3 linked regions of the Schizosaccharomyces pombe genome follow. Changing the gene in region 2 together with the main gene of any one other region gives a genetic interaction. Each region holds a gene or a part of one and is shown on either strand. Other genes may lie near its edges.

Region 1 (3,759 bases), 670 kb from region 2:
TAAATCCCTCATCAAGGAAGGAGTCATCAAGTTTACCACCAAGGATCTTAATAATTTGAATGTTATCCAAGTTCGTGCTACCTTTCAAGCGAAGCACTGCATCAACAGCCAGCTGAGCAAAATGGTTTTTATTCTGAGATAAGATTTTGGAAGACAGAGTAGTTCTGGCAATATTCTCGAGGTCACTACGAAATTTAGCAGGATCACTAGAATTATCAATAGAGGAAGCACGAAGAGCATCGATAGCAGTTTTAGTAGCAATACGATAACCATCGATAATCACTTGAGGATGTATTTTTGCATTGACCATAATTTCTGCTTGACGAAGAAGTTCAGCAGCGAAGACACACACACTGGTAGTACCGTCGCCAACTTCATCATCTTGGACTTTTGAGATATTCACTAAAACTTTAGCAGCTGCATTATCCAAAGCTATAGACTTAAGAATGGTAGCACCGTCATTTGTCACAACAATATCACCCGAAGAGTTTGATTGTAAAATTTTGTCCTATAAATCGTTAATTAAAAATTTTTTCTATGTAGATTTGACCTTACCATTCCCTTAGGACCTAAAGTGCTTTTTACCAAATCGCCCACAGCAATTGCACCCACAAACGATGAAAGACGGGCATTTTCACCCCGCTCTTGGATGCCACTTTCGTTAAAAATCTGATGAGGATTTAAAGACTATATCGTTAGTACGGTTTTTACACATGATATTACCATTTCCAGATAGTGTACGATAAACCCAGAGTTGCGGTGGTTGAGTGGAAAGTAGCTTACAGCGAACAAGAAGCTCGTCGCAACAACGTAAGCCGTAGCTTACCAGGCATGTACCAGCGACTGTATATTTCTAGTTTTGGATCGTAAATAATATTATAATCAAATATTTTTATAATATATATATTTCATTCTCTTACGTTCATATTCATGCAAAAGAAAATAATGAGACAGCTTTTAAGCATTGCTATATAAAACACTATTCTATTACTCTCAAATATAAAATATCAAAAAATTAAAAGATTTCCTATATCTATTCAAGTCTCTATGAAGTTAATACCGACTACTGAGCATGTTCAACAAACTAGATGATGGTTGGCTTAATCGAGTGTTTTATTATTGCTCAAAATGAAATATGAAGCGTCGATTAAAGATTTCAACTGATTTTTTATTTTCGATTCCCTGTATGACTTGTGTTTTCTTACAAGTACTAGACTAATGTTTTTGTTTTGGAGCAATATAGATATTGAAAGAACCAATGCGCAAATCTCAATTCTATTCAATATTAGATGGAACCATCTCGAAAAGTTAGCCAACAAGTTTCTAGATCTTTAAATGTGAATACCATCCTTAGACCTTGAGAAGTCAAGGATAAGCAGCATTTTAGTTGAAACGATAGATCAGTGATCACTCCTAAATAACTCAATATAAACAGTTTGTAGTAATACATCTAGCGCTATATTCTAAGCGCTTTTTAACATTAATTTCTTAACCAAAGAGTATTCTTAGTTTAGAGCGCGTACATTTCATAGAACGTGTAATTATTAGTTTTATTTTAAATTCAGTACTGTTCTCTGTATACAATTGACTTCCATGTAAACGTATCTTGAATGCCATTTAGTTGTAATATGAAATTCTTTGCCGAAGACTCAGCCATTCCAATCTTCCCTTTTGAATTACCTATACAACTAGGTACGAAATCATCTTCGGCACAATATCTTTATGATTGCACCGCAAAGTTGAGTTTCAACATTTATTTAAAGAATCAATAATTATTTTTTATTCAATAAAAAGCAAAATATTTAAAACGCCTTCTTTTCCCTTAATTTTAACCGTAAATGAGTGAATGAAGCGAGGTTAGCATTATTACAACAGCTACAGTCCTCCTTATTCAATCCATCCCACTAATGAAAACAGCCAGTTGATGGAACCAACATCTGAGCATTCATCAATCAAGGAGGAAGTGGAAAATGATAACGTTCATAGATCTCATGAGTCGGAATGTGGATCACTGCTGTTAAACCCTGGTAATGTTCTAATGGCAGCGCCTTCGGTGTCAGAGGATGATCAAGAAGTAAGCAGGTCTACACCAGAATTGCGAAGCCACGTGGAAAACGTTGAACAATTACTTTCTGATATATTGCATGATAATTCCTCTCCGCTTAATGTAAGCACTTCAGTATCGAGCAGTAGTAACAATACGGCTGTTGATGAAATTATAAAACTACTTTCGTTGATATCTTTTGATTTGGCAAAACAAAAGCGCACATATTTGATATTCTCTTCATCAGGGAAGCCCGTGTTTAGTAACATTGTTGATGATTCAATTGAGCCATCAACCGTTGGCGCGTTACAAGCAATTATTAGCTCTTTCGAAGTGTCGAAAGAAGAGCTAACAAGCTTTTCTACCTTTTCCAATGTTATCGTTGTTCTCTCCAAAAATCCTCTTTATCTTGTTGGCGTATCGCCATCGACAACTTTAAGCGCAGCATATTTACTCAGTGAGTTAAACCTCTTATATTGCCAAATACTTACTGGGGTTACTGCGAAAGCTATGCAGCTGACCTTAAACTCCCGCCCAAATTTTGATTTGAGAAGACTTATTGGAAGCAACGAGCAGTTCCTAAAAGAACTATGTGATCAACTTAATGATTATGAATTAGTCCCCACATTGAATGCCATATCTCCTCTTCCTTTACGTTCCTCTTTTCGTGATCAGCTGTCGCAACTGCTGTTGAGAGAAACACCCAAATCTCTGCTGTTTACTTTTATAGCTATACGAGGTCGGCTTGTTTGTATGGTTAAGGCGAAGAAGCTTTTATTACATGCTAATGATCTCTATTTACTTTTCCTATCACTCTTCCGCACACAGTCTTTTAATGATTCAATGGAGCATTGGGTGCCTGTTTGTTTTCCTACTCTAAATCCAGATGCTTATATTTACATTTATAGCTATTTCCTATGTAAGGACACTGTCTTGATAATGGGGAGCAGCGAAAGTGGTGTCTTTTTTGAAATGCAATCAGTGAAATGCAAAGTTGCTCAGGAAATTCAGGATCATGGATGGTTGAAAAAGCTCATTTATTGTGAAGAAATGGATAGAACTACGCCAAGGAATCCCGGATCTCCTTGTATTTCACATTACTTGTTTTATTCAAAGAAATACTCACAGTTTTATACTCCTGGCTATTCATTTTCAACTCCCAATTTCAATACTAGGTACGTATACAATGATCTATTTTTCTTTACAATTTCAATACGATCGCTATCTTTGGGCTCATTTGCTTTGCTAACTATGTTTTTAGAACTCTTTATGCTATTTATGCTAGCTTACACGACCAGGCATTTCACAAAAAAAATTCTTTCTCAATTAATATGACTGTCCATGAATCTTTGCTTCTATTCACGTGGTCAACTGCATCGTTCGACTTTCATTGTATTGCTAACGCTACCACTAGCAGTCAACTGCTTATTGCAAATGTTAATAAGATTTTGAGATGGATACGAAGGGAGGAGAATCGATTATTTATACAAACAAACCTTTCGTTTTGATAATGAGCATGTAAAGTTTAATGAAATTCATTTCTTTTTATTTTTTATGATGTTTTGACAGTAAAATATTTAAAAGAGCGGTGATTGCTTCCAACAGCTTTATTAATTTTTCTTTTTCCTTTTTTTGTTTTAATTTATTAATATCAGCATCATTTTACTCACATAAATTTCCGACTGTATGAACTTAATATCATAGCGAGTCAACCG
Region 2 (3,759 bases):
GTCTTGCAATCCTGCTACGTAGTTTGCACCACAGTAGGCGATACCTGCAAGAAGAACTAAAAAGCCTAGGAAAGAAGTAAACCCGGAGTAAGAAAAGAGTAAAGTACCCATGAAAGCGTAGAAGAAGCCCCTTCCTAAGAATGAGAACATGAACGATCCATATTTAATAGCAATAGGAGGAATTTCCTTTTCTAAACCAATAGTTCCCAAACCGAAAACGATGATGAACAATGCAAGTAAAGCGTTTACGAAGCTAAATGAAAATAACTTGATAAATCCGCTTAAAACGAAGATACCACCTACGCCCAAATTAATGGCACTAAACATTTTTGTTTTATCCATTGTGAATTAAGTGTATGCAACCAATATTAAATTTTTCAAGCAATATGTATTTTAGTCGATGTTTGCTTAAAGACAAAGAGAAATGCAAGTTACTAAGCCTGCCTATGCTTACCGATGCGGTCATGCATATTTACGAACTATTGAAATACGGTAAATAAAAATAACGAATTCCATAATTCTCAACCAACTTTTTGTTGTTTACAGAAAATGAATAATTCAATTCATCGAAAATGCATTTTGTTTTCTATAGCATTCTTTGTACTGTTTTTGAAGTTAAAAACACTATCATTTAGTAAATAATGTACTTTCGACCCGGCTTTTTTTTGAGACAACTGTTGTTGACAATTTTAAGGTCTGTGGGTCAATTTATATATTTGTCAAACGTTCGTAAACAAATGTATTTGTATCTTAGTTTCATACGAGCTCCTTTAGCTATATGTGATCTACTCTCACTCGGGATCTACAGGGCTGTAAAATTTTTTGCACTCAAGTTTCACGCGATTATTATCAGATGCACCTGAATAAAAAAGAATAAAGTAAAATAAAAAGCCGAATGTTTTATAACGTAGTAAAATTCCTTCTTATTTTGATCGCTTTGCCATTCATTTGATTATGTTTATAATGATAATTTCACGTGCAATGTCAACTTTGATAGACGGCTACATCTATTTCTAATTCGTAACGCTATAAAAAAAAACTCCATTTTAAACTGAGAATAAAGCAAGAAGTCGATTAGCCGAATATAGATATCAGCATGATTCGTTTTAAACGGCCCAAAGCCTTGTATATATTTGAGTAATTTTCTACTGTACTTAATTGTCTGTAATTAAACAACTATTTGTTACTCCTACCTTGTTACACTTGGATTTAATACTCTGGAATTAGTGTACTAACTCCTAAATAAATATTTAAGTAGTATTTTTCTTTAAGATATTTCTTTAATAAACATTCTCTTCTAATGAAAAGAAAAGCGTCATTATTGGTATTTTAGTTTTCAGAGCAAAGAGGTACTTAACATTTATTATGTCGCAATTATTTTATATATATATTATATTAATATTTTGTAATGAGAAACCTAGGCCTAATAGTGTAGTGGTTAACATACCTCTTTCGGGTAATCCCCACTTGTATGCTGAGTTTAGAGGTGATCCCTGGTTCGAATCCTGGTTAGGCCCCTTTTTATACTGGGCTTGCTGTATAAATTTATCTGATTAATTTTGAAACTACGCAAACCAACTTTCAATAATTAAAAAGTTTTCCTTACACCTTGCTTGATTACCTTTTAATAGATGTGAAATAAGAACTACTAAATTTGTGATAAATACCGAAAACAATCAGAAGAGTCGAAAAGAAGCATTCAAAAAATTGTGTAAATAACGAGTAGGTTTCTAATAATACGATAATTTCACAGGATGCCTATAATGGATCTGGCAGCTAATGAGCAAATCATTTTTACTTTTTTTTTTATTTAAAACATACGAAAAGATTCTCTTTTTTTGCTGCAAACAAAATTTACTGTAATTGAACCTAGAATTGGTAGCAAAGGCATTACACCGTATTACTGTAAACTTCACTAATGTTTGTGTTTTTAGGCGCATGATGAACATGATTACTCAAGAAAGTAACCAGCGACTATGTCAAATTTGCTTCTGATCATTGACTCGGTTTCACAAAAAATAAGAGACAGGAGGAAGTTGGAAGAGTTTGGACAGAATCCCGATGAAGAAATTGAGTCTTCATTGAAAGATGTTCGGCAAGAATTGCAAAAACTTAATGAGGAGCAATCGCGATTAGAGAAAAATGCACAAATCCCAGAGTACAGAGTACGAGAATCCGAAGCATTTCTTATTAGAATGCAAAGGAGGTTAGAGTCTGCTGAGGAAGAGTTTGAGAAGCAGCGGCGTGCATCCTCAATTCCTGCTGACGGAACAAGTGCCTTTTCTGCAAACCCGCAAGTTGCAAGTACGAATAATAAGTTAACTCCCCTTCCTTCTTTACAAAAAACGACTTCGAGTAGTGAGGGATCTGATATTGAGATGGAGGCCATGTATCCGGTTGATGGCAATGACCCTGATCCCATAAACGTAAACGTTTTGGCTCAAATGCATCAGCAAATGCTCAACGAACAAGAAGAATCTTTAGGAGGGATCGAAGCAAGTGTCCAAAGGCAAAAGCGGATGGGATATGCAATGAATACAGAATTGTCCGAACAAAATGTTTTACTAGATAATATGAATAATGATGCTGATCGAATTGAGAGGAGGTTTGATCATGCAAAAAATCGATTAAACAAGGTCAGCCGAAAGGCTAAACAGTATCCCAGATGCTTTATTATTTTGCTCCTTTGTGCGTTGTTATTACTTGTGGCTTCCATTTAGGGTGCAAATAAATATCACTTAGCAATTGTACTTGCTGTAACTCTGTTACACTTTCACTTAATTCTTTTATTTCACGTCCTCTTTGAACTAGGCTATATAGTTCTTTTATTTATATTTAATAACCGTGATATTTACGAACTTTTTTTTTACGATTTTGAAAATGTTTTTGTGATCTTCAACTTCTTTTGCTAAACGAACCTTCCCTTTATAGGGAATACAGAAATTAACTTTTTCGTACATTCCAGTTTCTAACCATTGACTGTCTTTCTACTTTAGTAATTATTTTTCTGCTAGCGCATTTCTTATCGAAATCATTTTTGTGTTCTTTTAAGGGCCGTCCCCCTTGTTCACAAAGCTAGTTTTGACGACTTAAATCAAGTGAATATAGTGCATGCAGAGTGAATGCTTAATAACCATTTGTTACAAACTTTGTTTCGCTAATAACTCCTTATTTGACATTTGAATAAATAACCTATTAGACTTTCAAAATTTTTAGATTCAGGGCAGTAAACAATAAACAACAATATCTTCAATTAGCTGTATCAATTTATTTTCAGAAGTTTTGCTATATTATTCCTTCATCTCATTAAAAAATATTCTCTTCTATTATTAAACATACGTAGTCATGTTATCATTATCATTATTAAGGAAAAGTTTGAACGAGTAGATTCTTTCTTGAGAATTAAGGGAACATGTGCTTGAATGCCATTTTTTTCATCTTAAATATAAAGCCTCCGTTGCTATTGTTAACCATATCACGCTGAACCTTTTTTGATAATAAAATATCAGAAGCAACCCTCTTAACTAATGTGTTGTGAACCTCTCAGCATTGCATATCTTAGCGTAATTAAATATTCGGTAAAAGAGGATCGTTTTCCTATCAACAATTGAACCCCAAATCAAAATATTCAAAACTTCAGATCAATCCTTAAATTAATTAAAAACCGAATCAAAGCTAGTTGATTTTTGTTTAAAAAAACTAAAAGATGCATTTCATTAAGAAACAAATAGTATAAAATATAAAGATATGAAAAAAATT
Region 3 (3,492 bases), on a different chromosome or scaffold from region 2:
GTCGCAGCCTTTGCTTGTTTCATCCGACCTACAAATATACTAGTCTGGATATTCCCACTTTTATTCTGGAACAAAAATCCTCAAACACCCATAAAGGATTTACTCTCGTTTTCCAATGTTTTTAATCGCTTTCGTTTTTTATATGCTCTCGGTTATGGGCGGCTTTTTGGCATATTCGTTTTGTGTGTGTCTTTATTTTTAGTTAATATTATTGCTGATAGAATACTTTACGGTCGTTTTGTCTTTCCCATCATTTCGTTCTTTCAATTTAATGTTACTTCAGGCCTTTCCTCTTTGTATGGATTGAACGCATGGCACTATTACCTTTCTCAAGCCCTCCCATTAATATGCGGAGGATTTCTTCCATTCGTATTACTCACAATGGACCTTCAAACAGCGGGAACCATTCTTTGTGTTTTCTTTCCCTATTCACTGATAGGACATAAAGAACTTCGGTTTGTATACCCAATTTCACCGATTTTACTTACTTTAGCTGGAAAATTTTTTTCATCATTTTCCTCTTGGAAGCGTGCAGCACGGTTTTTCTTCCTTATTGGATTGGGACATGCTCTGGTAATTACATTTTTATGCCGATTTCATCAATTTGGAGTCATGGAAGTTATGCCATTAATACATTCACTTGCTGAAAAAAACCAAACTGGTCTAATACTTGCTCCGTGTCACACTACACCATGGCAGTCGCATATCCATTCACCTTTTGCTGAAAATGGATGGAAGTTCTTGACATGTGAACCGTTCGAAAAGCCCTTTGATGAGACGGATCGTTTTTACGAGAATATGCCTACTTTTCTAGATAAAATTAAAGAATGGCCGGATTATCTGATTTTCTTTGAAGAGCGGTTTTATAGCTTATACAGCTATCTTGACTCCCGAGGGTTGAAGTATGAAGAAGTACAGAGGTATTATAACTCCTTGATTCCTGAAAGTCGAGAGAGAGCTGGAGCTCTGTTAGTGTATAAGAAACTCTAATTACATGATTCTTCATACCCCAAAAATTTCACAGGTCAGCATAATTATCTGCATTTTAACAACTATTGATGTATTTTAAATGAAACCACTGATGACTATTACTTGCTTTGGACAATATTTGGTTTATCCCTAAAACGCCAGCTTGATTTCTAGCTCCCCATTATAAACGATTTGCATTTCTATTATGGTTCGTGGATTATAGAGGGGGCCATATCAAGTCTTCACAGAGCAAGAGGAAGCAACAATTTGTAGACGAATAAAGTAATCCTAAGCCATTTACTATTAAAACTTAAGACATGGGTGGAACACTTATCTTCCCCGAAGCCATTATCATGAATCAACATCATTTTAAAATTTTCAACCTTTGGCGACTTTAACCTTTCAGAAATTTTCTTAAATACAAATTTATAGCATATCCTGCACTCTCCAAACAAATCTGAAAAAGAAAAGTTAGCTTACAACGCGAACACCCAAGTCACTTAAAGAATTTGCAATTGTAATTTTATGCTATGGAGTCGAGAAAAACGCAAAGGTCATTCGTCTATGTTGCGATTGGGACTTGAAAAAATAATTTTATACGGCCTAGCTACGATTCTAAATTAAATTTTTTATAATAGTATTTCACAAAATATTTGGAATATTACGGATACTTTAATTTTTAAACACAGTAAACTGCTTAAACGGTCGGTTTCTAGAATTGTAAAAAATTCTGAATTTCATTGTTTTATTAGATGAAGTATGAATATATATAATTGTAGTAAACACATCAACGATTCAACTAAGCATGTAATGTACGAAAGTAATAGCAATCCCACTTGTGTCAAGAATCTCATAACTTCACTAAATTTATTTACTGAATAGCATTTACACTATTATACGCTTTTTTACGTAGAGTTAAAGCATTGCTACATCCTAACGCGCAAAGTGTATATTGTGTGACTTACATATCTACACTATTCTCGTCTGCTAGAAATTACCAAAATATTGCAATTCAGCAGCTTCAGTTGATATAATGAGTTATTTTTTACCTCATTTACATTCTGGATGGTAAGTTTTTGTGATAGATGGATTTATTCTTCTCTAACTTATGTTTATAGGCACGTTGATCAAGCAATTTTATCAGGTACGCGAACTTTAAGAAACGTAGAATGTTTCTCGTTTCACAACTTCGAATCAGCTTATTAACCTTTTTTTTTATAAATAGAACAAGAGCGCTTGGTTGTCATTCGATTTGGTAGAGATCATGTATGTTCTAATGTCGATATCTACTTGGATTAAGTCTATTTAATATTGTAGGCGGATTAATTTACTAACGCGTAACGGAATAGGATGAAGAATGTATAAAACAAGATGAAGTCCTATACAGAATTGCTGAAAAGGTCGTCAACATGGCTGTCATATATTTAGTGGACATTGACGAAGTTCCTGACTTCAACAAGGTAAGTCTAAGTCTTAGTTGGAAAGTCATGTTGCTAACCTTATTACCATCTAGATGTACGAGCTTTATGACAGAACTACAATAATGTTTTTTTATCGAAACAAACACATGATGATTGACTTAGGTACTGGTAACAATAACAAAATCAACTGGCCGTTAGAAGATAAACAAGAGATGATCGATATTATAGAAACTATTTTTCGTGGTGCTAGAAAAGGTAAAGGTCTTGTTATTTCTCCAAAAGATTACTCTACCCGACATCGCTACTAGAAGCCACCATTTGCTTATGCAAGAAAATGGAGAGGGGATAGAAAAATCATAGTAATTTGATAGTTTTTGGCTAAAATGAAAAAGTCTTTTTGCTTTAATTTTTACGCATAATTTGTACTTCAAATGGTATAACCCTTCTTTTAAAGTCAGTAACAATACAGGATTTGAAATTATCTAGTGGATGAATTGTAATAAAGTATTATCAAATCCTATGAAGAAATTACATTATATGATTAAAGAAAAGCATGAACATGATTACTCTTGCTATGATTTAACAAGAGAGGTAAAAAAGTGACACTCAAGTTGCCTTATTAGTTGATCTAGCGTGTTTCTTTAAAGCCAGCAAAATCTCGTCAAGAAGGGTGTATATAACATGAGCGTTTAGAGATTGGTTTTGGAGAATACGAAATATTCTTTTCACAGCAATATCAGGTGTATAGCCGGGAAACATGGAAGCAAGCAAAATCCCTGCTTCTGCTTTCAATTGATTCCTATCAGCATAAGCTGGCTTTCGCGCCCGTGAATGACGGCGGTCTTTGGAGTGATCATGATTAGATTTACCTTCAAGTCCTCGTCTAAACTCGCGTAACTTCCTATAAATCTTCTCAGGCGTAAACAACTGAAACAGTTGTAGTCGTATACGCTTTTCCAAAGCTCCGCCAAAAAGTTGTTCCAATATCGATATATAAGTTTTTTTCGGTAACCATTGCTGCTTTGCATCGTCATTTGGAGAAAACAATTCGACTAAAAATTCCGAGATGGGACCTGAGAATGACGAGTTAGTGTTAACGTTG

Evidence for each region.
Region 1: mutations in fsv1 (region 2) and aut12 together harm fitness more than expected from each alone (negative genetic interaction), as found in Schizosaccharomyces pombe (one large-scale study listed by BioGRID).
Region 3: mutations in fsv1 (region 2) and dim1 together harm fitness more than expected from each alone (negative genetic interaction), as found in Schizosaccharomyces pombe (one large-scale study listed by BioGRID).

What each region holds. Positions count from the first base shown.
Region 1 is NC_003424.3:641,678-645,436, reverse strand, and holds aut12 (autophagy associated protein Aut12), read left to right. Parts: upstream 1-1,898; 5' UTR 1,899-1,924; coding exon 1,925-3,219; intron 3,220-3,305; coding exon 3,306-3,552; 3' UTR 3,553-3,592; downstream 3,593-3,759. Other genes in the region: chaperonin-containing T-complex beta subunit Cct2, read right to left, coding at 1-508, 556-687, 724-726.
Region 2 is NC_003424.3:1,312,682-1,316,440, reverse strand, and holds fsv1 (SNARE Stx8), read left to right. Parts: upstream 1-1,960; 5' UTR 1,961-1,976; coding exon 1,977-2,720; 3' UTR 2,721-3,205; downstream 3,206-3,759. Other genes in the region: tvp15 (COPI-coated vesicle-associated protein), read right to left, coding at 1-342; DNA-binding transcription factor, glucose starvation sensing, Rst2, read right to left, coding at 3,758-3,759. UniProt on the Schizosaccharomyces pombe protein: Involved in vesicle-mediated protein transport between the Golgi and the vacuole.
Region 3 is NC_003421.2:877,145-880,636, reverse strand, and holds dim1 (U4/U6 x U5 tri-snRNP complex subunit Dim1), read left to right. Parts: upstream 1-1,965; 5' UTR 1,966-2,002; coding exon 2,003-2,037; intron 2,038-2,048; exon of another isoform or gene 2,049-2,087; coding exon 2,088-2,113; exon of another isoform or gene 2,114-2,194; coding exon 2,195-2,235; exon of another isoform or gene 2,236-2,318; coding exon 2,319-2,429; exon of another isoform or gene 2,430-2,482; coding exon 2,483-2,698; 3' UTR 2,699-2,833; downstream 2,834-3,492. Other genes in the region: gpi10 (pig-B family GPI synthesis protein), read left to right, coding at 1-990; sorting nexin Snx12, read right to left, coding at 2,997-3,492. UniProt on the Schizosaccharomyces pombe protein: Plays a fundamental role as a protein essential for entry into mitosis (G2/M progression) as well as for chromosome segregation during mitosis. May play a role in mitotic spindle formation and/or function.